Linked DNA regions of Ovis aries. The protein of the gene in region 3 purifies or fractionates together with the protein of the main gene of each other region. This does not show direct contact. Links are inferred from orthologs where the notes say so. Each region holds a gene or a part of one and is shown on either strand. Other genes may lie near its edges.

Evidence for each region.
Region 1: the proteins of PPP1CC (region 3) and KIF18A purify together in Homo sapiens (affinity purification with mass spectrometry; 4 studies listed by BioGRID and IntAct, counting the BioPlex papers as one, with this or other methods). This does not show direct contact. The link is inferred for Ovis aries from reciprocal best matches to the Homo sapiens genes PPP1CC and KIF18A.
Region 2: the proteins of PPP1CC (region 3) and HDAC1 purify together in Homo sapiens (affinity purification with western blotting; 4 studies listed by BioGRID, with this or other methods). This does not show direct contact. The link is inferred for Ovis aries from reciprocal best matches to the Homo sapiens genes PPP1CC and HDAC1.
Region 4: the proteins of PPP1CC (region 3) and EIF2AK4 purify together in Homo sapiens (affinity purification with mass spectrometry; 3 studies listed by BioGRID and IntAct, counting the BioPlex papers as one, with this or other methods). This does not show direct contact. The link is inferred for Ovis aries from reciprocal best matches to the Homo sapiens genes PPP1CC and EIF2AK4.
Region 5: the proteins of PPP1CC (region 3) and RRP1B purify together in Homo sapiens (affinity purification with mass spectrometry; 7 studies listed by BioGRID and IntAct, counting the BioPlex papers as one, with this or other methods). This does not show direct contact. The link is inferred for Ovis aries from reciprocal best matches to the Homo sapiens genes PPP1CC and RRP1B.
Region 6: the proteins of PPP1CC (region 3) and UXT purify together in Homo sapiens (affinity purification with mass spectrometry; 4 studies listed by BioGRID and IntAct, counting the BioPlex papers as one, with this or other methods). This does not show direct contact. The link is inferred for Ovis aries from reciprocal best matches to the Homo sapiens genes PPP1CC and UXT.
Region 7: the proteins of PPP1CC (region 3) and PEAK1 purify together in Homo sapiens (affinity purification with mass spectrometry; 6 studies listed by BioGRID and IntAct, counting the BioPlex papers as one, with this or other methods). This does not show direct contact. The link is inferred for Ovis aries from reciprocal best matches to the Homo sapiens genes PPP1CC and PEAK1.

What each region holds. Positions count from the first base shown.
Region 1 is NC_056068.1:57,559,651-57,563,863, reverse strand, and holds the start of KIF18A (kinesin-like protein KIF18A), read left to right. Parts: upstream 1-1,413; 5' UTR 1,414-1,484; intron 1,485-4,213.
Region 2 is NC_056055.1:235,235,998-235,239,497, forward strand, and holds part of HDAC1 (histone deacetylase 1), read right to left. Parts: intron 2,576-3,500; coding exon 2,501-2,575; intron 802-2,500; coding exon 663-801; intron 206-662; coding exon 64-205; intron 1-63. UniProt on the Homo sapiens protein: Histone deacetylase that catalyzes the deacetylation of lysine residues on the N-terminal part of the core histones (H2A, H2B, H3 and H4).
Region 3 is NC_056070.1:54,611,194-54,615,361, reverse strand, and holds the start of PPP1CC (serine/threonine-protein phosphatase PP1-gamma catalytic subunit), read left to right. Parts: upstream 1-1,368; 5' UTR 1,369-1,564; coding exon 1,565-1,619; intron 1,620-4,168. UniProt on the Homo sapiens protein: Protein phosphatase that associates with over 200 regulatory proteins to form highly specific holoenzymes which dephosphorylate hundreds of biological targets.
Region 4 is NC_056060.1:33,800,389-33,804,429, forward strand, and holds the start of EIF2AK4 (eIF-2-alpha kinase GCN2), read left to right. Parts: upstream 1-1,241; 5' UTR 1,242-1,302; coding exon 1,303-1,446; intron 1,447-4,041. UniProt on the Homo sapiens protein: Metabolic-stress sensing protein kinase that phosphorylates the alpha subunit of eukaryotic translation initiation factor 2 (EIF2S1/eIF-2-alpha) in response to low amino acid availability.
Region 5 is NC_056054.1:264,416,695-264,420,194, forward strand, and holds part of RRP1B (ribosomal RNA processing protein 1 homolog B), read left to right. Parts: intron 1-412; coding exon 413-495; intron 496-501; exon of another isoform or gene 502-564; coding exon of another isoform or gene 565-618; intron 619-1,955; coding exon 1,956-2,013; intron 2,014-3,194; coding exon 3,195-3,280; intron 3,281-3,500. UniProt on the Homo sapiens protein: Positively regulates DNA damage-induced apoptosis by acting as a transcriptional coactivator of proapoptotic target genes of the transcriptional activator E2F1.
Region 6 is NC_056080.1:57,175,278-57,177,441, forward strand, and holds the end of UXT (protein UXT), read left to right. Parts: exon of another isoform or gene 1-1,289; coding exon 1,290-1,413; 3' UTR 1,414-1,568; coding exon of another isoform or gene 1,569-1,619; 3' UTR 1,620-1,664; downstream 1,665-2,164. UniProt on the Homo sapiens protein: Involved in gene transcription regulation. Acts in concert with the corepressor URI1 to regulate androgen receptor AR-mediated transcription. Together with URI1, associates with chromatin to the NKX3-1 promoter region.
Region 7 is NC_056071.1:30,021,288-30,024,787, forward strand, and holds part of PEAK1 (inactive tyrosine-protein kinase PEAK1), read right to left. Parts: intron 3,131-3,500; coding exon 1,970-3,130; 3' UTR 1-1,969. UniProt on the Homo sapiens protein: Probable catalytically inactive kinase. Scaffolding protein that regulates the cytoskeleton to control cell spreading and migration by modulating focal adhesion dynamics. Acts as a scaffold for mediating EGFR signaling.

The DNA.
Region 1 (4,213 bases), on a different chromosome or scaffold from region 3:
TTAAGAGATTTTCTGAAAACTTTAGTTTTCTTTTCAGTAAAATAAATAGTATATACATCTCATGGGCTCTTTTGAAACTTGGAAGTGATTGGATAATATATATAATTAATAAAATGCCCGGGACATCAAAGGTAAAGTACCACAGAGTGAGTGCATATTTGAAATAAAATGAAAAGCCTTCTCAGTTTTACTACCAGACCCAGCACCATACAAATCACTATCTCACTAGCTAAGATCCATCTAGTACAGCCAGCAATTAACTTTATTGATGCTCTATCCAGTGCTCAGAAATAATCATATATTATGCATCATATACAATACAAAGTGCTTCTGATTTTCTTCAATAGGAAATAAATGCCTATAATATGAGGGTCTCCCCTACATTGTTCACTTATAACACTCTACATTTGGTGGTGTGCCACCCTGTATATATGGTGATGTTGAATCACTAGAACATAAGCTCCAAGAGGGCCAGGAGTTTGACTCAACTGTGTGCTATTATGTCCTTAAAATATACAATTAATAACTATTAAATGAATGGATACAACAATAGTAACATAAGAATAACAAAAATTCAGATCATACTATTAAAAATATCCTGAGAAATAAACGATGAATTCTCTTAGCAAACACATCTGCCTTTTTTTTTTCCAGATATATTTTTTTTTTCCTTTTTATAGTTACATTCTAAAATTCTAACTACAACCCAGGACTTAAAAGCCCACTGCATCCAATAATGAACTAGGCCAATAAATTTGAATAAATTTATTTTGTAATGCCATCTTAGAAAGAAATGGAGAAACAGTCATACAACAAATAGTTTCAGTCAGCAGGCACTAAGGGAATGAGCCTGGGGTTCCTGAGCAATGAAGCCTGGGCTCTCAAACCAAAAGTCCTGGACTTTCGATTAATTTAGATGAATTGACCCCAGTTTTGTCCACGTGAAAGTGGCTGGAAGGAACAGGCCCTTATAGCTTCCAGATCACGGGACCTATGCCTTGGAGGCCTCATTGCTAAATAGAGAACAGGAGAAAATAAACACCCAAAACCCATTAATCCATACCCAACAGGCTCCCCCTCTCCCCCTAGCAGAGGGCATGGCCAAGCCCTGCCCGCACTCGTCTCACTCACACCCTGAACCCAGGAACCGGGCCCGTGCCCACGGTCTGAAGGCTTCCTGAAGATCCCAGGTGTCTGCCTCCCACCTGCAGCTGCAGCCTAACCCCGCCCACCTCGGCCAACGCCTCCGGAAGCAGCCTCCGCGTTGCCACGGTGACGCGGAGTTAGGCAGCTTCTAGTGCTCCGCGCCGCTAAGACGCCTGGAGCCAATCTGCAGCGCGCCACGGCCACGTCCTGCGTGGTGACGTCACGAAGACGGAAGCCAATGAAAAGAGGCGCTGAGGAAGCTGGCTTAAGTTTGAATCTCGAGGCTGAGTTTGAATAGCCGGGTGGCGGACATTCGAGTGAAACTTTTTGAGCCTGAGGTGAGTGTAAGGCTAGAGGAGAAAACTGGTCTCGGGGGCTTTTTTTGGATGACCTATCTCGGTGGAAGCGGAGAGGTCCCGCCGCCTCAGGAATAGAGGACCCGGTGGGCTTGTTGACAAACACGGAAGCGTTAAGTGCGGCGATGGGATAGGGTTGCGGGTGGGCCTGGTTAAGGTTCCTTGGGGATAAAGTGAAAGGAAGGAACTTGAGAACGCACTAGAATGTGGCTCTGCCTGAACGAGAGTCCTCGACGGCTCAGCAGGAAGATCAGAGATCTCCTACCTGAAATTCTGAGGAAATCGGAAATTTTAAAGGGCATCCTGGCTCTTTTCCCAGACTTTGGTTGAACACTAACTGTTCAGTACCTTACAGTGCAAAGTTCCTTCAGGACTCCATATACAGAGTGTTTTGTTTTGAAGTATAGCTCTAGGCTTAACTATCAGATGAGGAGCCTTGGTTCACCAACTTGCAAGCTTTTTGTCCAGCGAGGTTCTGCTGTTAACCTGTCAAAGATCAGCTGGGAACCTTCCCCGAGCCCCAATTGTAGCATCAAGATAAAACCTGCCAGCAGTGACTAATGGGTTTGCTGAGGATCAGCCAGGCTATGGAAGAGATACTGGTAGTTGATGCTCTGCAAATGAAAAATACTTAAAGCACTGAGAATCAGTTCTTCTACCATCGTTTCTTAAGTGTCTGCGAGATTCGCCTTGAGGAGTGTTCATTAGGCACTCCGTTTCAGAGAAGTCAAGGCTGACTGCTGTTTATGACATTATTGGGCCAGAATTGAAAATTTGTGTTGTATAGTGTATAGGTTATTAATTTTTAACAACCAGGTAGGATGTGTTAGACATTCTACAGGTTTCAGTTGATAGTGTTATTCTACCATGGTCAGCGACCCCATCTCGGATTTTGGTAAATATTTATGAACTTTGTTGCCAGAGAACATGACATCCAAAGGTTAGATACTGCTTTTTATTTACTTTCTACTATTTTGTAGGAATTGTTTGTTTCAGTACACAAAGGTTACCTGCCTTTTAACGGTAGAAATTGGCACCTCTTCTATTACTAAACAAGTATTTACAAATACACAAAGTTTTCATTTTAAAATATATCTTGTTCCACTCTAAATATATCTTGAATCAATTAAGGTACCCAATAAAATGACTTTTATGCTGTCAACTCTGAAAACTAGAAGGAAAAAAATAGTCCAGATGTTAGTACTGCCCTTCCCTCCTTTCGAAATTTTCATTCTTCCTTGATGCTTGCAAATTACTAGAATCAATGGCTCTAGCACTCAAGTTATTTCCAATAAGAGGATTAAGTTACATAGAGACTGTACATGATAATGTGGAAGGTAGTTCCTGGTCCTAAAAAATGTTTATGGAATCTGCATCAAATTCAAATTTGAATTTGTATTTAAGAAATAATTTATAACTGTATTACTCCACACCTTCAAGAAAATTTATACAACACTTCTGCTCCATTTTTTGAAAGCCTTTCGTTTTGATTCCAATAGAGCATAGCTGCTAAGAACATGGATTGTAGATTTGGACCTGGATCCACATTTTGTCTTCTCATTTAATCGCATGTCATTTTGGAAAAATTCCTTATCCTAAAACTAAGTCTCTGTTTTTGTAAATTGGAGTCAGTAATAGAGTCTACTTTATATTTTAAGGATTGAATGAGATGATGAATGTCAATTGTTTATCATAATGCCTGGCATACAGAGTGTACTCAAATGACAGCCACTGTTCATTATTACTAAGTATCACCATATCCACCTAATTCCAGAGTTCTAAATCTAATAACATTTTCTGGAAGTAGATACTTATCCAACTGGCACAGAAAAATCATGAACTTCCAGTTTTGTTTCAACATTCATTGCAAGAGCCCCAGTACTAGGCCCTGAGGTTTCTATCAAAAGTGAAGATAGTTTAACTTCTTCTATCAGAAAATATCTTAGAGTTATATATTTATCTCATTATAGAGAGGATGATTAAATACTTGAACTTTAAGTTCAGTCAGTCAGAGTTCAAATTTCATGTCTTGTGCTTCCAATAATGTGACTTCAGCCAGTTAACTTAACCTCTCTGTATTACAGTTTCTCTTTATATAAAATAGGTATGATTTTGTATCATATGCTATGATATAAAATCCTATATCATAGGGTTGTTACAGAGATTAAATAAGTATGTAAATTGCTTAGCACATTTCTATTTGTAGAATAACAAGTCAGGAAAAAGTATTCCAAAGTTATTAAGAGAAACTTTGAGGTAAATTTTAATATTTTTTGGTTTTGTTTTTGAGATAAAAATACCTAGACTTGTTTAAAACCCAAAGAGTACAAAAGAATATAAGGAGAAAGTAAACCTGCTTGTCAATTATTTTCCCACATCAAGCAACTGTATTATCAATTTCTTGTGTTCTCTTCCTGAGAGAGCCCACACACATACAAGTATGTATATGTCTTTTGAAAATACAAATGGTTGAATACCATATCCACTATTCTGCATTTATTTTTTGAACACGTATCTTGAAAATCTTCATTAGTTCATTCATTCAGTTATTCAACAAGTATGTAAAAATTTCTAAATATATGACAAGCCCTTTTCTAGTTTCTGGAGTGCAGATAAAGTTCCAGTTCTCATAGTGCTTGCATTTTAGAAGGGAACTAAGCAATAAATATGTAACCAAATAATATATATTTTCCAAGTAGTTTATATTGCCA
Region 2 (3,500 bases), on a different chromosome or scaffold from region 3:
AGACAGGAGAGTTAGAGCTGGCAGCTGAGGGTGAGCTGGCTGGCCCCTGAAGGGAGTTCTCACCCGTAGGTCCCCAGTTCCTGGGAAGTACTCTCCATATTTATGAAAGGACACAGTCATGACTCGGTCTGTGGTATAGAAGGCCTCTTCCACGCCATCGCCGTGGTGAATATCAATGTCAATATACAGCACCCTCTGGTGATACCTAGGATCAGAAGGGGGTCAGGGGGTTCTGGGGGCTCTTTGGGAATGGGACGCGCCAAGGGCGCCAGGGCCCAGCTTACCGGGCTGGCTGCCTCCCTCAGGTATCTCTAAGCACCAGAGACGTGGAAACTGGCTGAAGGAAGGTGGAAGAGCGGCAGGGTGTCTCCAGAGGCCTGACCAAGCCGACCAAGTCCGATCTTCCTACTCTACAGCCAGGGTCAACTCCAGCCACACAGGGACATTCTGGAGGCAGGATCTGAGCAGCACCTGCCCCTGATCTTGCCGTGGGCTCAGATCCAATCAAGGCCTCGTCAAGGAGAGGATGGCCAGAGACACTCACCAAACACATCCTAGCCGGCACGCCGCTAGGAAAGGCAAACTAGGGAGGCAAGCCCGGGGGAGAGGGAGTGGGGACCTGGCCTAAGGTGCTCCTCCGAGACAAGGCCAGGCAGGCATACTTTAGCAGTTCCAGGATGGCCAAGACGATATCATTGACGTAACAGAAGCCAGATGCCTCGGACTTCTTTGCATGGTGTAGGCCCCCAGCCCAATTCACAGCGATGTCCGTCTGCTGCTTATTAAGTTTCACGGCACTTGCTGGGCACCGGAAGAAAGAACACAAGCCTGTCACAAAGTCCCTCTCTCTCCTTTCCCCAAAAAACCATGGGAACCCAGTGAGAGATAGGACCTGCCTATTTAACAGGTGAACTGTACAATTCACCAGCTAGCCCTCTCCCTCTGTCTACTCCAATGGGAATAAACACAACATTGGCTACTCTAGAAAACCTGTTTTCCAAACTGAAAGTGGTAAAACTCACTAATAGGCCTTAAAATTGGTTTAGTGGGCTATGGTTAGTGTGTATATATATATATATATATATATATTTTTTTTTTTTTTTTTAATGAGATAGACTATAGAATAAAAATAGCAGAGTTAACAGTAAAGGTAACCACTCTTTTGTGAAACTAGCTGCAGAGCAAGAGAGGATGTGTGTGTGCGAGTGTGTCCATAACCAGGATTTTAAGTGTAAATGTATTTCTTACTGTGGTTCATGGTCAAAATATTTTGAAGATACCAAATGTAGCAGACAGAGGCTTGAAGTACAAATAGGCCCAAGAAGAAGTGCGAGAAAAATACACACCATGTGTGCAAATGCCTTTGCGGCAGTATGACTTTAAGAGCGATAAGAACATGAGGGATCCCCTGGCAGTGCAGTGGTTAGGACTCCATGCTTCCACTGCCAAGGGCTCAAGTTCAGTCCCTGGCCAGGGAACTAAGATAGATCCTTCAAGCTGCATGGTGTAGAAAAAACAAAAACCAAAAAAACACCAACACAGAGCAACTTGAGTGGACTAATTATATCAACTGAGGTTGGTCCATAACATAGAATAATCATGTAGCCACTAGATACCATGCTAAACCTTATTACAGCTAAATTTCAAAGATTTACTAAGTAGGGACTTCCCTGGCAGCTCAGTGGTTAGACTCCACACTTTCACTGCCACGGGCCCAGGTTTAATCCCTAGTTCAGGAACTAAGATACTGCAAGCCACATGGCATGACCGGAAAAAAAAAAAAAAAAAGATTTACTAAGTAAAAAATGTAGTAGGGAGGCACAAAACTATACATACACATTTTTGTAAAATATAGATGAGTATACGTTTTGTCTGGATACGTGCACAAAGAAAAAAGCATGGATGTACAAACACCAAAATGGTGATGACGGTTATCCATGACAGTGTGATTGCAGTCAGTTTTTTTCCTCTGTATACTTCTTTGTTTTCTGAGATTATATTGTGAGGTGGTAGGGAGAGGCAAGGAGAAAAAACAATGATCACAGAAAAATAAATATTTGTTAAGAAATGGTAGAGTGATCCCAGAGATAACATAGATATTAATGGAAGTGGGAGATACGCGGGAAGTGTTTCTGACCTCTAAATGTAATTACCATGCTCTTTTGTAAGACACAGATGATGACACTTCCTATTTTTACAGCACTTTGCAGTTCACAAATTACTTTTATGTTCAGCATCTCAACAACCCCATGAGGTCTGCAGGGAGTTCCTGTATACAGGATGTCTTAGTAGGAAAGGACAGGCTAGGACACATATCTATACTATGTCAGATTGAACCTGGCCTCAGACTGAAGCAGAATAACATTTTAAGGACCTAACATAAAAACCCACCCAGGACCATTTTACATGGTCACAGGTCAGCCTCACTAGGACAGTGGCCTAAAAGACAGACCTCATTGGTACAGCCCAGAATAGCCCTTATGAAGGGTATATTCCTTACCCACAGAGCCACCAGTAGACAGCTGACAGAACTCAAACAGGCCATCAAATACCGGACAGTCCTCACCGACGTTGACTTGAAAAAACACGAAAAGGTTAGTTTCCACAATTTCCTTTTGGTTTTGTTTACATTATTTATGAGCTGATGGAAAAAACACAGCATTTGGATTCAGAAGGTTCTTGCCCAGGCCCTCCTGCTTACTGACTGTGGGACTGGGTCTAGTCATTTAATTTCCTTGAGCTTTGGCTCATTATCTTTAACAAGCAACAATGATATCCACCTCACCTAATTCTTGAGAAGATTAATAGAAACCATACATGGGGAAGCATTCAGCAAGTAAGTACTCAGAAAATGTTGTTTCACTCCTGAGGGAGAAAAATTTGGCCTCTTATTCCAGCCTGGGTTTGTTCCTGGATCTTACTCCAGCGGGTCAACAAGCAAGCAAAGAACAGAGGGCTATACTATCCTCCATTGATGCTTAACAACATGCTGGTCACCATGCTAAGTGCTTTAAATACTTGGTGTCATCTATGCTCACACAACTTTCTGAGGTAGGATTTGGTCCTGTTTTTTTTTTTGGTCCTGTTTTATAAGTGGGGAAACAGGCTCAAAGAGGTAACTGCCAGTAAATGGCAGAGGCAGTATTCAAGGATTGGTCTGTCCGTCCTAAAAGCCCACGAAAATGTACTCTGGTCTTTTCCCCAGTAATTTCACATACATAATCTCGAATCTGCCTAACAACTCCATAAAAGATGGACAGGACCAATATCAACCCCACTGTGCAGAGGAACAGTGCAGATGTGAAGTTAACTGACTTGCCCAAGGCTATATAACCAAGCAGTGAGTGGTAGAACCAGAGTCCAGGTGTCTTGACTCCCACAGTTCAGTGCTCTTTCTACTACAACAAGTGACAATTGGAGGAAAGTTATTTCAGGCCTAAAAGGGTAAAAGTACAAACTAACACATAATGTGGAAACACATGCAAACAGTAATGCAAATA
Region 3 (4,168 bases):
CAACTGGGCTCTGTGCCCTGGGCTGACAAATGACACTTGTTTGTCTTCTTGCGAACAGAGTTACAGCACGGGAGGGTAAGTTGGTGACTGGGGAAAGCTGAGTGAGCAACTGCGCCAAGCAGGTGGGATCTCTGAACCTTAACGCCTCCAAGCCAGCCGCAGGGAGGCCTCGGGTCCATGTGGAAGGAGCCTGGGCCCCACCACTTTTGGGCCCCGGGGGGAACACCGGTTTTGAGACTGGATGCCCGGGTGGCACAATGATCTCGATATTTCGGGCTGGGAATTCGTGCATTTTGTGTGCCTTGAGAGACAAAATTAATTTCTCTGGCGGGAGGGAAACGGCTTTGCAAACTGTAAAGCGCTGCAGGAAAAAAGCAGTTAAATGAAAAGGTCAGGATCCAAAAGAGCAGATGCGTTTGCTGAGTGTAACTGCACTTTCAAACCCAGCTAAGACGACACGCAGCCCCCGGAGGTGGCACATTTTGGAGGGATCTCCTGGAGAGAGATTATATGTGGAGACTGAGAAGCCGATGGAAATTGACCAAAGTTTTCAGGGGTATCTGCAGAAGTGGGGACCCGACCGCAAACCTGCAAATTCTCCTTTATCTGCTGCACACGCTCGCTCATCTTCGCTCTGGCCGGAATCAGGGTAAACCGTTCCGATGATTATATAACTTCGCGAGTTCAAGAAAGATAATCCAGAGAGAGATGATGAAATTTTTTTGAGGGTAGATTAAAAAGAATTTTTTTCCCCAAATGTAAGTTACAGAGTGCACAAAAATGTGCATACAAATACCCATATTTCCACCACTCAGAAAGAATAACCTAACATTTTTATTTATCTGGGAGAGGACTTTTTAAATTAACCATCAAATGTATCTTTCCCTCCCCCCTAAATTCTAGCAAATTTGAAGCCAAAAAGAGTCAACCTATTTCACTGTTCACCTCTACCACAGATTTATCTTAAGGGGAAATTCCAGGACACCCAAATTCCCTCCGTGGGCTTTTCACATGGCCAGGTCTGCAAACACTTGGCCGCAGTGAACAGTGTCCTGCGGAGCCCGCAACCCTCGAGTGCACAGATGCATCTTCTCCCCCATCCCCAACTCCCGCGTTCAACTTTGCAACTCACGCTCCCGCCAGGGGGCCTATTTGCTCGGCCCGTTTGGCGGAAGGATTCCGCGCGCGAGCGCATTTACGCTCAACCGTCTCCTTCCCATTCCCGCGTTCTGGCCCCGCCTCCTTCAATCTCCCTGGCCCCGCCCCCTCCCGGGTGCCCTATGGCCCACAAAGAAGTCCCGGCCGGACCGCTGCACTCCCCCGCGCGCATTCGTGCGCCGCCCGAGGCTGGCTAAGGAGTCGGCGGCCATTTTGTTCTTCTCGTGGTTCCAGTGGGGAGAGAAGGAGGAAGCAGGGAGCGGGGCGGTTGGGGGGAACCCACCGCGGCTTCTGCCACCGCCGCCACCACCACCATCTCTGTGCCCGTGGCGTGGGAAAGGAGGTGTGAATCCCGGGCGCGAGCCGGCGGCGGCGCCGCTGCGGGAAGGTCGGCGGTGGGAAGGCGATGGCGGATATAGATAAACTCAACATCGACAGCATCATCCAACGGCTGCTGGAAGGTGAAGGGGGCGGCGGGCGGCTCCGGAGACTCGCGGGGGAGGGGGATTTGGGAGGCCTGTTGGGCTTGCTGCGCCGAGACGAGTGAGCCCCGCGAGTTCGCCCGCGGGCCGGGGACTGCCGCGGGAGGGAGGTTGCCCGGCGTTCCGCGCTTGGCCCAACCTGCGGACCCTCCTGGCTCCGCTCATTCATTGCTTGAGGGTGCAGCCTTTCTCCTGGCCGTGAAATTTGAAAACTCCGCTCCCCACCCCCACGTTTCCGGTACGTACCCCCGTGCGCCCGGCACTCCGGACCAATCTTTGGAGAATATTGGGGGCCCCAGTCCAACCTACTGGACTGCTCTTTCCGAACTTCGTGGTTCTCAATCTTTTGGAAAGCAATAAGATGCGGATATGGATTTCACCAAGCTTGAGGGCTTCTTTCCTAGCCTGCTTATTTTTATTTTTTTGTGAGGCTTGGGGTCGGGGGCCCAGTTACTTGTTACTCGGTAACGAACGTTCATTCTCAGAGAGATGTTGGAACCTGTCTTCTTCTACCCTCCCAGATATTCTTTTTAAGTTGTCTTTATCCCGGGGAAGTCTCCGCGCTCTTTTCTGAACCTGCCTCTGAATCGTGAAACCGGCAGTGATGACAGTTTCGTTAGGATCTTTCCAATGTGCCAAGCTCTGTTAAGCGCTTTGCGTTCACTGACTGCATTTTGCTGTCTTTTAGTCGCATCCGACTTTTCGATCCTATGGACTTCAGCGTGCCAGGTTTCCCTGTCCTTCACCATCTCCCGGAGCTTGCTTAAACTCATGTCCGTTGAGTCGGTGATACCATCCAACCCAACCATCTCGTCCGCTTCTCCTGCTTTCAGTCTTTCCCAGCATCAGGGTCTTTTCTAATGAGTTGTCTCCAGTACTTTGCGTGTGTCGCAAAAATCATATTAGCCATGCTTCTAAAGCGCTTACTGTGTGTAAGGCATTTTTTGGAGCTCCTTACACAGATTTCATGTAATACACCAGGTAGATGCCTTTTTTTCCTGACTAAGACCCAGAGAAGTGTAGTCACTTAACCAGTTAGTGACAGTCAAGTTTCAAACCCAGGCAGCCAGGAATTCAACGTCATTCAAGTCACCCTATGTGTGAAGGAAGGTGTCCAGTGGTTGAGCAAAGGTTAAAATAAATCTTCAGTTTTGACTGACCTAAAACTCCTGAGGTGTCTTGCGATTGATTTCTATTGATGTGGGATGGGAGAGGGATGAAGTTCGGATTTTAAGGAGAGACACTGAAATAAAATCACCCACCACCCCTGAATTCTAGAGCACATCTATTAATAATAACGTCTAATTCCTAACTTTGAAAGAATTCAGATCCTTTTCTTGAGTGTTGGATAATGTAGATTTGGCTGAGTTTTAACTGCATTTTTGCCTTTATATTCTAAAATATTGTTGGACTGTAAATGCTCAGAGATGGAGTCGAGCCTAAACAGTTGGACAGCTCTGATGTTAGAATTTACAGATCTTTTAAGTCATGAGAATGAAACTTCATCTTTTCTTAATCTCTGTTAAGGTTTTTTTCCTTTTATAGTGTCTCAAAACAAAAACTCGTTAAATGAGCCCCTGAAATGTCACTGCCATTTGTGGGTGAAAACCTTGTTCATTCAGTATCTGCCGTTTATTAGAGGAATCACACTTTTAATATTAGTTGATATAGTTCTTTGGTTTATGTGAGACAGCAGTGGGTCAGAAACGGATTAAAACAATTTGCTGTAGGAAAAGAACTTAAATTTTTTTCATTCAAAAATTGTAAATTCTGCATGTCTATGCAGGGACATGTGTGGCTTTATTTCTTTGAGAAAGCTGGAAAAAATGGAAGCTGTGGATTAGAAACAGAATTTTAAGATTAGTTAGGTCTTAATTGTGGGGTTGCCCATAACTTTTATATTCATATAACATCTTGTTAATTTTAATCTTATTTTTTAAATTGTGCTAAGGAATTTGCGTTGATTAACCTGGATCATTTACAGTGAGATCAGTCATTATTTCTTAATAGTTTCTATACATGTTATGTTGTGCTGGAAAACCAGGTTTTTTTAACATTTCATTTTTTTTCATTGAAATTAGTACAGCAGTGCATTTTCAGTCCTCGGGAATAAACTAGCTGCTCAACATTCTTAACGTTTGTTTTTTTTTTTTTTTTCTCGTCAATGTTAGATTGGCAGAGAAACTATTGAAAATGATCTATTGAAGATATATATGTATATCTTTCCAGGGTAGAAGATGTTGATAAGTTTTGTGATTTTTTTTTTTTTAATGCCTCACAAAGTTTTTCCTCTAAAAATTTTCATTAAGATTTAAGTATATCTGAAGATGGAGGGAATGTGAGTTTTATGACCTTTTTAGAATTTTTTACATTTTCAGAATTGTCTAAGGTGGAGGACTATACAAGCTAGTTGAGAAGTAGCTCAGTGATAGTACTAAAAAGACCATTCAAAAGTGAAGTCTTATCTAATGAAACGTCTTGCTTTAGGTTTTAGTCACTACAGCTTTGCAGTTATTTGCTACTCTAAA
Region 4 (4,041 bases), on a different chromosome or scaffold from region 3:
GCAAGAGACATAAGAGATGGACGTGGATGCAATCCCTGGGTAGGGAATATTCCCTGGAGGAGTAAATGGCAACCCACTTCAATATTCTTGCCTGGAGATTCCCATGGACAGAGGAGCCTGGTGCGCTACAGTCCGTAGGGTCACAGAGTCGGACACGACCGAAGCGACTTAACACAACACACATATGGGTAAGCAAGGTAGACAGAAGGAAATGTCACTTACATCTAACTTGAGGTAATATGATATGATTATTCTAAATCAATATGCAGCGTTAGTAGCCAACTGAAGATGAAACGCAATGACAAGGTCCAGGTAGATAGGTTATTTTATAAACTTGTAAAAATATGATTGGCGACAGCACACAACAGAGAGACCTCTTAAATTTGCATCAAGCAAACTGGACAAGCAATATAATTCTCTTCCTGGGAACGTTGCTCATGTCTGAGTAGAGCAACATTTTTCAGTTTAAACTGCACGGTGGTACAGGGTGGGCAGATAGGAACAAAGAACATGCACTACGATGTTGAATCTATGATTAAGGGGACGAGTGTGAGGGTATAAAACAGGGGCGAAGGAGTATTGGTCACAATTTTTACTCCTGGTCGTCTTCTGGGAAGGTTTAAGGTGAGTCAAAGCTTCTGGGAAATCCATCAAAGTCTGACTCTTGTTTCGTCTCTTACCGTTGCAAGAGTAAAGGAGTTCCGACAGCCACTTCTGTTAGAGACTTATTTCGTGAAAACCATACCCTTTGGCATTATCATTCCATTCTGATTCATCTGATCTCTCTTGTTCCTGCAAGTTCCTCCGCTCAGATTCCCCCGGAAAAATGTAGGCCAAACTCCCGCAGGTTCGCTCACACACCACTGCTGTTAGCGCGCTAACAGGACTAGCCTGGAGAAGGAAATGGCAACCCACTCCAGTATTCTTGTCTGGAGAATCCCACGGACAGAGGAGCCTGGTGGGCTACAGTCCATGGGGTCGCAAAGAGTCGGACACGACTGAGCACACAGCAATACTAGTCTTCGTGCCGGAGGGACCCACCCCAACTCTGACCGGGCCCGGGACTCAGCGCCCTGCCCACACGCCCACTGCGGGCGTGGAGCTCCAGCTCGGGTCTTTCTCGCTAGCGTAGAGCCCCTAACCTCATCCCTGACCCCGCCTCCGGTTCGGAGACTCGCCCCAGGCCCGCCCCGGCTAGAAGGCCCGCCCCGGCTAGAAGCCCCGCCCACGATCCCACCCCCGGAGTGGAGCCTGGGCCCACCAGCTACCGCCAGGCCGTTCTTCCAGGCTCACAGGACTGCTATGGCCGGGGGCCGCGGGGCCCCCGGGCGTGGCCGGGACGAACCGCCGGAGAGCTACCCGCAACGACAGGACCACGAGCTGCAGGCCCTGGAGGCCATCTATGGCGCCGACTTCCAGGACCTGCGGCCGGACGCGCGCGGACGGGTAGGAACTTGGCATGTCTGGTCGGGGCTGGCGTGCTGCGGCCCAGCCTCCCTTGGCGCGATCTACCCCGGCTAGGCCCGCCCGGCCTTGCCGGAAGCGAACACCCGACACCCACTTCGGATTCTGGATCCCTTTCATCCCTTACGATCCACCCGCGCTCACTTCTTGTCCTTGCACCCGCAGCCGCACGGCGGGTCTTCAGAACCCCTGCCTGGGACAAGTTCTCTTACAGCGTTTCTCCTAAATCGGCTCCCGTCTTACCTGGCCTTGCTTCTTATTCCCCCTGACGTTCCATAACATACCTGCCTCCTTACTGTCTTGTCTCCTTGGGTTTGATAGACAGCGCATTCATGGGGACCCATTGCAACTTTGGGAACGCTTTGAGGGCTCTTGCACAGATCTTATTGATGTCCTTAATCAGAAGTCTCACCCTCCGGTATGTGTTCAGGACTGTTAGCCGTGTAATTACGCTGTACCCCTCGGGCGTCCTCACTGTGTTGTGCGGTGTGGAGGAACTTTCCTCTGTGCCTGTCCTTCAAGAGTGTGGAATATATTCTTCTTAGCTGTAATGAAGAGGGAGTGTGCTGAGTCCAAACCTTTTAAAATGGCATTTGGCTAAAATAGTTTCCTTTTTGTCTGGAAATAAGGCACATTTTAAGCTGCTGATCCAGTTTTTTTCCCTCATCCTTGAAGCATTATCTACCAAACTATTGTTATCTATAGTATTTTTTTTAAAGTAGTACCTTTCTTCATCTGCCTTTAAGTCTTGGCTTTTTACAACATGCACTTTATCAGCACATGCAGGATTTGCTCAATATCTAGGATCTTCTGGAGCTGTCAGGGCAAAACATTCTCTCTCTCACCCAATGTGTTCCTTCCTTAACTATTTATTGTTCTAGGTATTCAGAATATAGTCCAGCACAAACCAAACCAAACCCTCATCCTTCAGGGAGCTTACTTTCCTAGTACTTAATTTCAAGAATTAAGACTGAAATAGTAGAAATGTTAATATTCCCCTTATACATACTTAGGAGAAGGAAATGGCAACCCACTCCAGTACTCTTGCCTTGAAAATCCCATGGATGGAGGAGCTTGGTGCAGGCTGCCATCCAGGGGGTCGCAAAGAGTCAGCAAGACTGAGCAACTTCACTTTCACCTTCATACATGCTTATAATAAAAGAATAAGGTAACTTTCTGGTGATCTGGTAACTTCTCAGTTCCCTTGAGAACCAGGAAGTGTAACTAAAATGTGTCACAAAGTGTACATTGGGACTCAATACAAAGCTCCTAAGACTTCATTCAGAGACAGTGTATTTAGTTTACACAGCTTAATTATCTGGTCCTAAGACTGCAAGAAAACAGAAAAGAACAAGGAACTGCTTGTGGGGATACTGATAATCTCAATTTATGGCTGGTAGCCTTTATAACAAGATAGTATAGTAAATAAAACCAAGAGTGTAAGAGGCAGGTAGAAGAATTCAGATAGCTGTACCCTGAGGTACATGGGCAAATATCCTTAACACTTTGCTAGGCCCCACAAGCAGCTAATTGGTAGTTATAAGGATGAATCAGAAGGTAGTCATTCAACATGGAGAACAGACTTGTGGTTGCCAAGAGGGAGGGGAGGGGGAATGGATAAACTAGGAGTTTGGGGTTAGTAGATGCAAACTATTACATATAGAATGGATAAACAACAAAATCCTCCTATATAGCACAGGGAACTCTATTCAGTATCCTGGGATAAAACATAATGGAAAAGAATATAAAGAGTGTATATATGTGTATAACTGAGTCACTCGGCTGTACAGCAGGAATTAACACAACATTGTAAATCAACTATACTTCAATTAAAAAAAGTTTTAAAAAGTTAAAAGAATGTAATCATTCAACAGGTACTTTTTACTTGCCGGTCTTTAGGGGAAGGTTATTCAAGTCCACAATCCTTTATCCAATCCCTGAGGCTTGATGGGTTTCAGAACTGGAAGTGTTTGTGTTCGTGGCCATGTGTGCACATTCCATGCTTATCTAGTACCTCCCTCAGTGGCTTCCCTGGCGGCTCAGATGGTAAAGCGTCTGCCTGCAATGCGGAAGACCGAGTTTGATCCCTGGGTCAGGAAGATCCCCCGGAAAAGGAAATGGCAACCCACTCCAGTACTCTTGCCTGGAAAATTCCATGGACGGAGGAGCAGGGTAGGCTACAGTCCATGGGCTTGCAAAGAGTGGGACACGACTGAGCAGCTTCACTTTCTTTCCCTCAATGTCTGGAGCAGCATCCAGAATCAAGCACAGTGAAACATGTGAAGGTTCGTGTTCACCCTCAATGGGATGTATAAAGACTATTAATAGCCTCATGTCAGTTCAGGCCAAATTTGCTGCCAGTAAATTCAGCTCAAGATTATTGACCTGAGTAAACTTTAATTTCTTAAACATCTGAAGTTTTTTAAACTCTTTTTGGGAGATGTATTATGAGGTATAGTTTCGTTTAGTAGCATATATATATATCATTAATAAAGAAACATTTTGGGAATACATGCTAAAAATTGTCTTACATACTAAATTTTGGACACTCATTGCTAGTTTAAAATAGGATTTCCT
Region 5 (3,500 bases), on a different chromosome or scaffold from region 3:
TGCAGGATTTTCGGTCTAACTTGGCTAGACCAGTGACAATGGTGGTGTTGCCGGTGGGTGGGGGCTGGGGGGGAGGTGCTAATTTCAGGCAGAGGACCACTTGAGGGAACTCCTAAATGACTCGTGAACTAAATTAGTTAATTCTGTGTGTGGATGACATTTGCTTTCCTATGCTACTCAGATTGTGAGAACACTCTACCGCCACCGCCCTGCCCCATAGCTGACAAAACTAAAGCATTTATGTCTTTGTTTTGTAACAGCAAGAAAATGTATGCTTCAAATAAAAAAGACATTTACAAGTAAAAGTGAAAATGTACTCAGTATTATTCTCACTGCTTCTGTGGCAGCTCTAAACTTACGGAGGAAGCGTGTAGGTTCTGAAATAAGACTTTTCTGGTCTTTTGCCTTTTAGGAGGTTTCAGCCAAGAAGAACTTCTAAAAATCTGGAAAGGGCTGTTCTATTGCATGTGGGTGCAGAATGAACCACTTCTGCAGGTAACCTACAGTTCCCTGTGTCATGTTGCTGGACACGGGGCACCGGTGAATGAGAGACCTGCCCGCTTTATGCTGTATCCATCCCTGATGTACGGAAACAGATGGAAAACCATTGCTTCAAAGGTTCACTTTCCCACCACTTGTCCATAGAGAAAGGGGTGCAGGCATTGAAGTGAAATCTTTTCAAAGACAAACAAAGACACATAAATTAGATTTGTTATTTCTCTGTCACAGTTTCATAGGTTCCATGGTAGGTTTTACATTATAAAGTTTCTGTTTCCTCCTTTATTATTTGTGGTCAAAAATAGCAAAACGCTAGTCTAAGAGCTACCCGGCTCTGGGCCCAGCTCTGCCACAGTTAAGTGGGGCAGAGTCTTTGTAGAATGAGCAGTGATCCTGGAGCTGATGGTCTCATCACAATGGCAGTGGAGACCTGCCCAGGTGTGTGCACTCACCTGAACCCCTGTCTGCCGAGCACACCAAGCCCTGCCGCCAGAACTATCAGAGAAAGTGGTTTAAGCTCTTGAAGAGCTCTTTTCTGGTGTGTGAAACAGGCCTGTCTTTGTAGCAGGATAGGGTCAGCTTTGGGGGCGCTGTTTGAAGCCCCCTGATGTACAAAATGCCAGGGTAGGTTTTTACTTGTCTGGCTTTTACCTGCAGCTATTCCGCTTCCCCTGAGCCCTGTAGTGACTCACTTTGATTTCATGCCTTTACTCCACTGAACATGTTTTGAGTAGGACAGCAGAGCAAAATATTTTTAAGTTACATTCAAAGTGACAACCAACAGCTTTAGTGGAGGAAGGAAACAGATGAATGGGAACATCACTTTCAAGTCCGGGGTTCATTTAACATGGGTGAGAAAGACTTGAGTCTAGGTGAAGGCCCCATGATAGCGGTGAGGATTATTCTTCTTCTGTGGACACTCCCAGAGGCAGGTTTCTTCATAGACCCAGAGCCTGAGTTCTCCCCCAGACAAGCTTGTGCACCTCAGTAGGATGGCTCTTTTGCTTTCTGCTGCCTTGCCGCTGCTGCCTGTCTGCCAGCAAGCCAACAGGAGCCACATGGAGTGACAGTCCGGTATCTCACTGCCAGCGACGCCCCCTCGTCGCAGTTGGCATCTGCGTTTCCATTATTTGGGGGAATTCGGATGGAATCTCAACCCAAGTTATATGTTGAAAGCCAGGAGTTGAGAGCTGATGTTTCTTGTGTGCGTCAGTTGAACTCACCCTAGGCATAGCGTGTGTGAGCACACAGCCTAGTTCTGAAGGCATGTTGAGTTGGCACAATAGTCCGTTGAAACAGCATTTCACATGTAATGCAATCCAGGTGTTCAGATACACCCTTCTTAGTGGAGGTGACAGTGAGAATGGAGGGGCTGACCCCTTCCCACAGGCCGTGATGCTGTCCTCTCATGGTTCCACGTAATAACCCCGCTGTTTTTCCCCAACCCCACTTTGCAGGAGGAGCTAGCGAACACTATTTCCCAACTCATCCATGTTGTTAACAACTCAGAGGCTCGTAAGTCCTGATATTTTCGTGACTTTCAAAACCTGCTCATCAGATTTGGTAACTTGCCTAAGAAAGCTACTCAATGTTGTTTCTTCTCCTTCCTTCAAAGTTTCTATTTTCAGGGGGGCTAGCGTCACATGAGCCTGGGCACCGGGAGTGTGAATGTCAGGTGACAGACTGTCCCATGGGGAACCTGTGTCAGGCCTAGATACACAGTGAGAGGGTGAACAAAGGGCATCACATTCGGCGTCTCAGAGGTTTCAAAAGAGTCAAAAAAAATAACAGTCCTCCAGAGTTTCCACATTCTGAGTTACTTTAATGCTCTCAGAAGCTGTGTGTGACTGTGTGGTGCCACGGTTACCTCTGGATGCTGGTTGTCCTTGGGACTAGAGCCATTTCAGGTCATCACTGGTAACAAACTGTAAAGTAACCCCTCTTGACCAAAACGAATAAACAAAGGGAGAAGTTAATTATTAATATTTCTGAGACATTCAGCTTTGATTACTTACAGAAGCAGAGAAGGCAGAATTCACTGCTTTTGCTCAGCCCTCAGAACAGAACTATCCAATGGCCTTGTTAACGCTCAGTGATTCTCTGGATTTTAGCAGGCTCCCAGCTGACTCGTAAGGATCAAAATTCTGTACATGGAATATACTGTAGCTTTTCATATATCAAGAGAAAATTGTGCAAAAGGAAGTAAAGCAAAAAACAAACCGTTTTGGGATAAAAAGTGCTGGTTTCATGGCTCCGAAGAGAAAAACAGTGTTTTATTAAAGTTCACTCAGCTGACGCTGAACATGAAAACAGAAAGCTAACTCTCTGCATGGGTCCCCCAGGTGCCATCAGATGGATGGCTTAGGGCTGATTGTTCAGTGTATTTGGACAAGAAGGACCAGTATCTCTGGCTCAGGACATTTTTTGATTTTTAACAGAATCATGGCTTTTCAATGGATAATGAAACATGCTCCGGAGAGCTTTCTAGTCAAACATTAAGATATTACCACTTCTTGTCAAAATAAGCTTTTATTTAAATATAAAAAATTATCGAGCATTCTTAGTTACCAACGAGATTTTCTAGCTGCCCAAGAACCCTTGAGAAATCCTAGTCTGTTGCCCTTCGTGACCTTTCTTGTTCTGTGGTGACACGGCACCCTGCGAATGGAGCGCTCAGAGCCTCTTGTTCCCTGCAGAGCACTTGTTCATCCAGACCTTCTGGCAGACCGTGAATCGCGAGTGGCCGGGCATCGAAAGGCTCCGTCTGGACAAATACCACATGGTGAGGGTGGGGCCACAGCCCCTGACGGGCAGCTCGGGGTCGGGGAGGCGGCTGTGTGCGTCATAAGGTGACCAGCAGGGGGCACCAGAGGACGTGTTCGGAGACATCAGTTTTCTCGCTTCCAGCTGTCAGAGTCTGGGGCTCCTTGGTTAAGTGTTTGATCTAGAAGCTAATCTGTTAGTGTAGGAACTTTCCACTTTGAGGATCCAGGCTGTAGCTG
Region 6 (2,164 bases), on a different chromosome or scaffold from region 3:
CTGTTTTACTCATTCTTCAAAGGCCTTCCTTGATCCTTTGGGTGAATTAGGATTCTTTGGGTGAGACTGGTGCCAGTTGGCATAGAGAGAAAAAAGTGACTGGTTCATGGAAATGGCAACCTGCTCCAGGATTCTTGCCTGGAGAATTCCATGGATGGAAGAGCCTGGTGAGCCCCAGTCCACGGGGTTGCAAAGAGTCCGACATGACTGAGCAACTAACACTTCCACTTTTTTTCTTTCATGTAACTCAACAGCCCAGAGCCAGCATAGTTTCAGGCAACTCTTGCTTCCCAGTCACTTAGGCCTTGGTGTCTTTACCTTGAGTTCTCTTTCTCACACCCAACACCCTCCTTTGGTAAATCCTGTTGACTTTACCTTCAAAATGTATCCCAAATCTAGTCATTTCTCATCACCTCAACTGCTGCCACTGTGGTCTGAGTCTGCTTCTCTCACCTGGACTGCCTCCTCACTGGACTTCCTCTTCCACACTAGCTGTCCTTATCCCCAGTCAGTTCTCCACATAGCAGCCAGATGGATCCTCGTAAACCCTAGTCATTTCACATCCCTTCTCTGATCACAATCCTCCTCTGGCTCCCATCTCACTTAGAATAAAAGCCAGAGTCCTTACCATGGCCTGGTAGGTCTTACATGATCTTTCTCCCCTGCTTACCTCTGTGACCTCACCTTCTACAAACCCCCTTCACTGATCCTTCTCCAGTCCTGCTGGCCTCTCTGCTGTACCTCAGACATGCCAGGTGCACTCCCACCTCAGAGCCTCTGCGTTTGCTGCCCCTTGTGTCTGGAACACTCATCCTCCATCCTCCAATACGCTTCTTCATTTTAAGTCTTTACTCAAACGCGCTTCTCGGTGAAGCCATCCCTAAGCACTCTAATTAGAATTACAACCCCCACTCCTGCACTCGTTATTCTCTCTTAACATTTAATTTTTTCCTTGTACTTATAACCATCTGACATACTGCATATTTTATTCCCATCATTTGTTCCCCATAATGAGAATTTGAGTTCCACAAGGCCAAGATTTTTGTTTGCTCTGTTTGCTGCTATCTCCCAGTACCTAAAACGACCTGGTGTAGAGTAGGCACTCAATAAATGTCTCTGAATCAGTGCAGTCCAGATGGCAGCCAGGCATCTCTGCATAGGAGCAGCTCAGGTAGTAGGATGTCCTACCACCTACCGTGTGGAAGTCATACATAATGTAGGTAGTTCTTGAAGTGATGAAGAAGCATAATCCTCCTGCCCACTTCACCTTTCTTGTTTCTTTTCTCCAGGCTCAGCGACAGCCTCACCAAGGACTCCATGAATATCAAGGCCCATATCCACATGTTGCTAGAGGTGAGAGTAGCTCACTCCATTCCCAGACTCTATCTCCAAATGTTTAGGGTGGTGACCTGAGAACGAGAGAGAGCCAGAGATGGGAAGGACCATATTTTCCTCTAAACTGGAGTCAAACTAGAGCCAGGCTGGCTCGGAGGGAAGAGAGTTCTGAGCAAGCCTGGGATGGGGCCTGGACCCAGTCTCTGTTCAGTCTCTTATATTCTCTTTTTCAGGGGCTTAGAGAGCTACAAGGTCTGCAGAATTTCCCAGAGACTCAGCACTGACTTCTTCCTACCTCCCCTGACATTAAAGAGCCTGAATGTCTTTGAGTCACACGGCCCTTCTTTCCCCCCTTAACCCCTACTGTTTGCTAAAGTGCCCTGTTTCTAAAGCACAAAGTACTAGGAGGCCCAGAAATCCGGTCTGTGTGGGACCATTAATGCACCACTGAAGTCCTGCTATTTGACTTCTGTGCCCGCTCTACTGTTGCCTTGGCAACCTGGGCCCCCACTTGACACATTTCTTTTCGTGTACACTACTATGAATTACCAGAGAATGGGCCGATTCATGGTGGAGGTTTGCTCCCCAAAGCAATTCAGCCTTTCACTCCTGGCGGGAAGGTTTACCTTTCTCCCACACCCCAGTCGTTCCTCAGGTACCTTAAATTACACTCACGCCCATCTAGGCTCAACCTTGGCCTTGCCCCAGCCGCTAAGTAGTTCCAGCTTCCAGCAATGGGTCTAGGGCTGATCCCGCCCTCCCTGGTCTGGTCTCTATTCTAGGTTGAGTGCAGCTTCTGCCAATCCATGCAAAGCCAGGTTCCGCCTGT
Region 7 (3,500 bases), on a different chromosome or scaffold from region 3:
GGACTCTGTGTGGGCCAACCAGCTCTCCTCCCTGGAAGTCCTGACCTGCTGGCCGGGAGGACAGGGCATCCCCCAGATGGGCCTCATGACTCCCATTCTCTCAAAAAATAAGAAAATGAAGCAAAGAAGAGCACGATAAAATACATTCTTCTCCTTTCTTGATCCTCTTTGATATAGGTGAATCACATGAAAGGTGGTTAATAATGTTAAAAGTTTAGAAATTACCAAAAGGCCACTAACGTGCTATCTAAATAATACTGCACAATCAGGCTTGGCTTTAACAAGCTCTGCATCGGCTGATGCGGGGCCCAGGGCCATCTTGCCCACCAGGCAGAGGATGTGTCTGTCAACCTTGCCACAGGTTGCTCCCCCAGAGGCCTGGCCTCTACTTCCAGCAGGCATGTGCACACACATGGGTATACGCGTGTACACACACTCACACTGTCTGAGCGACTCTTGGGATTTCAAAGTTGAAGTAAACAGAACAGAGACTCACAGTTTTGAATAACACACACACACACACACACACACACACACACACACACTGTGGGTGGAAGGGACACTCGTCTCAGCGCAAATATGTGCCAAGGGAAGAAGGGGATATTCTGTGGATATTGCTTCAGGTGAAGTTGCAACATAGACACTGTACATACAGCTAAAAAAAATACATACAAAAATTGCACATGTATCCGTAGGAGGGGAGCACAGACCCCAGGCAGGGTGCTCTCGGCCACCCACCTCAGCAATCCAAACTCCCCATGAGCTGCCCTCAGTGGTGTTTCTGAGTCACCGGGAGCAATGTGCCTGGGCAGCTGGGAGGCAGTCTCTCTAGACAACGTGGGCATTGCGAGGCGGAGGTTGGCGGTCTCGTCAGTGGCCTTCTCCCCTTCCTCTGCCTTCTGGCCATCCTAACAGCCAGCCACACTGTGCCCTTGAGGGAGTTGTTACAGCTCAAAGGATAGCCATTTCCATGCAGAGCTGTTGTCTACAGCATTTGGTAGACTAGTTAACACTGGCTGCTGATAGAAGGAGGCTGGCCAATTACGGCTCAGGGGAAAACTGTGATCTGGGTACTGGTAGCCCTGGCTGCCGAGGCTGACAGCTCTGACAGTAATCAAAGAACTGTCCTTTAAACTCTGTTCCCCTGATGGCCCCTAGAGAACGGCACGTGCAGGAACACCATCTCCTTATGTCCTGCTAGTTATTTGTAAGATCTGCACTCTGCCCTCCTGGGGCCCTGGTGATACCACCTTGGGTCAGCTCTGTCATGGGCTGATACACCCAAACTTCACTGGCAAGTGGGGACAGAACCAAGGTGAAGGAGGTTCAGGCAGTGGCAGCACGAGGGGAGACTTAGGGCCGTCCTCCACACAGTGCACACACTTACTGATAATGGAAACCAAATGGGTGCATGACCCTAAGGATGGATGCTCTCTTCTTGTCCTTCTACCCTCTGCTAGAACAAAGGATGCAACTCCCAGAACCAAAACTGGGCTGATGCTAAGGATGGCAGTTCTGCCTGGTAAGAGGGCCCATTATTGATCCTTTAAAGGAAAAAAGTCTGTTGTGAAAGTTTAGTAGATGATGGTAAGTACTGGTTAAATCTGTCTATTGCTAGTGAGAATAAATACATGATGTTAAAAAGACAGGTGATACTCAGAGTTCCGGAGGAACTTGACCCAGCTCATGGAGTTCAAACCAGAGGAGCTGTCACTTCAAGGATGCATCTTCATATTTCCTGCACTTGGGGACAGTTAGGGCGGAAGGTGTTCCCATGAATGGCAGCTGCACATATGTGCGGCTGACTTTCCCTAATGTTAAGATGGACTCAGCGTCTCACTGGACTTGGATGGGGAGGGAAGGCTTGTCTCTCTTCTTTCCTTGAATTCTGTATGAATACCAGGAGGGGGAAGTGTGTGGGCAACTTGAAGAAGGTGACACATGAAGTAAGACCAGTGACTGGGACATATTAACGGGGCTGCAGGATTTTCACAACACAGCTGAGAGAGTCCGGAGTGGCAAAAGCCAGATACTGAGCACAAAGCCAGTCCTCCAGGCTGATGCCACCCTCCCGGTCCAGGGACTTCTCGGCAAACTTGATCATGAGCAGTGTGCGCTTGATGTCTAGCCAGTTCTGGAGCAGGGTGTTCCTGTGAGCGGGGCTGGGGGAGGCGGTGAAAGTCTGGAAGAGATCTTCCCGGGGGCCCCAGAGCAGACACTGGAGGATGCCTTTGGCATCTGAAATGAGGATCCGCTCAGAAGGGTTGGGATTTAGGAGGCAGCTGGCCAGCTGCTGCAGGCCCCGGGAATAGGGGGAGCGGAGCGGGATGCGGGGCAGGTCGGCCCGGGTGTACTCCTTCTCCTTCAGCTCTGGGTTCTCATCGAAGGGGTTGGGCAGGTGCAGCATTTCATAGATGAGGATGCCTGTCTGGAACTCGTCGCACTTTTTATATTGCGTGGCCGTGATGATCTCCGGGGCGAGGCGGGACTGGTCCCGGAGGATCTCAGGATCTACCAAATGGCTCTTCTGCTTGGCCTGGGAGAAGTTGCTGACGATGAGCCTCGTGGGACAGGACGGGGTGGGGCTGGGCTCTGCAGGCCCCAGGCCCTGGGTGGGCCCCCCAGGCTGGTAGTGGACGAGCAGCAGGTTCTCCAGACGCAGATCGCAGTGGGTGACATGGTAGGGTTTGAGGTGCTCCAGGCCCGAGCACAGCTGCAGAAGCAGCAGACACACTTGCCTCTCGTACGCATCCGGGCTTTTCCCATGCTGCGCCAGGGAGTCTCGCACAAAGTCGGCCACTGTGAGACACGGAACCTCTCTGGTGATGACCACAACGTGGCTTCTCTGCTTCCTGCTGACGACTGCCTGGCTTTCTTTGTGGGACGACTCTGCTTCGGAGCCCAGGTCTGGGTCCTTCCCATCAGCTTCCCCTTTCACCTCTTCTGTTGCTTCCATGTCATCCTCTTCCTCTTCGGGGGCATCGGGATCCTCCCAGGGAAGCAGGCGCTTAGGAACTTCAGCAAGGAAGTGACCGCAGTCCTGCTGGATGTTAAAGTGGACAGCCAGACTCTGCCGGATAGCCAAGCTGTGATAATATTGCTGTGATTCTTTAGCTTTGCTCTTACAGATCTGAAGGAAGAAAGCAAAGAACACAATTTAAAATGCACACTATCAGAACAAGGCTCATGATTCGTAAAGAGGGGTTAACTAGAAGGTGACTGGTAGGAGTCTGGAGTAGCGACAGCAACAGTGTTGCAGTGAAGATACAGCACTAGAATTGAGTTTTCCAGAAAGGGTTTTGGTGACCCTGTGTTGAGTTTCAAGAAACAGTGTCTTCATGCTTAATCCATCATGTGTATTACCTCTAGTCCTTATGTGTGCGTGTGTGCTAAGTTGCTTCAGTTGTGTCTGAATCTTTGTGACCCTATGGACTGTAGCCCGCCAGGCTCCTCTGTTCATGGGATTCTCCAGGAAAGAATACTGGAGTGGGTTGCCATGC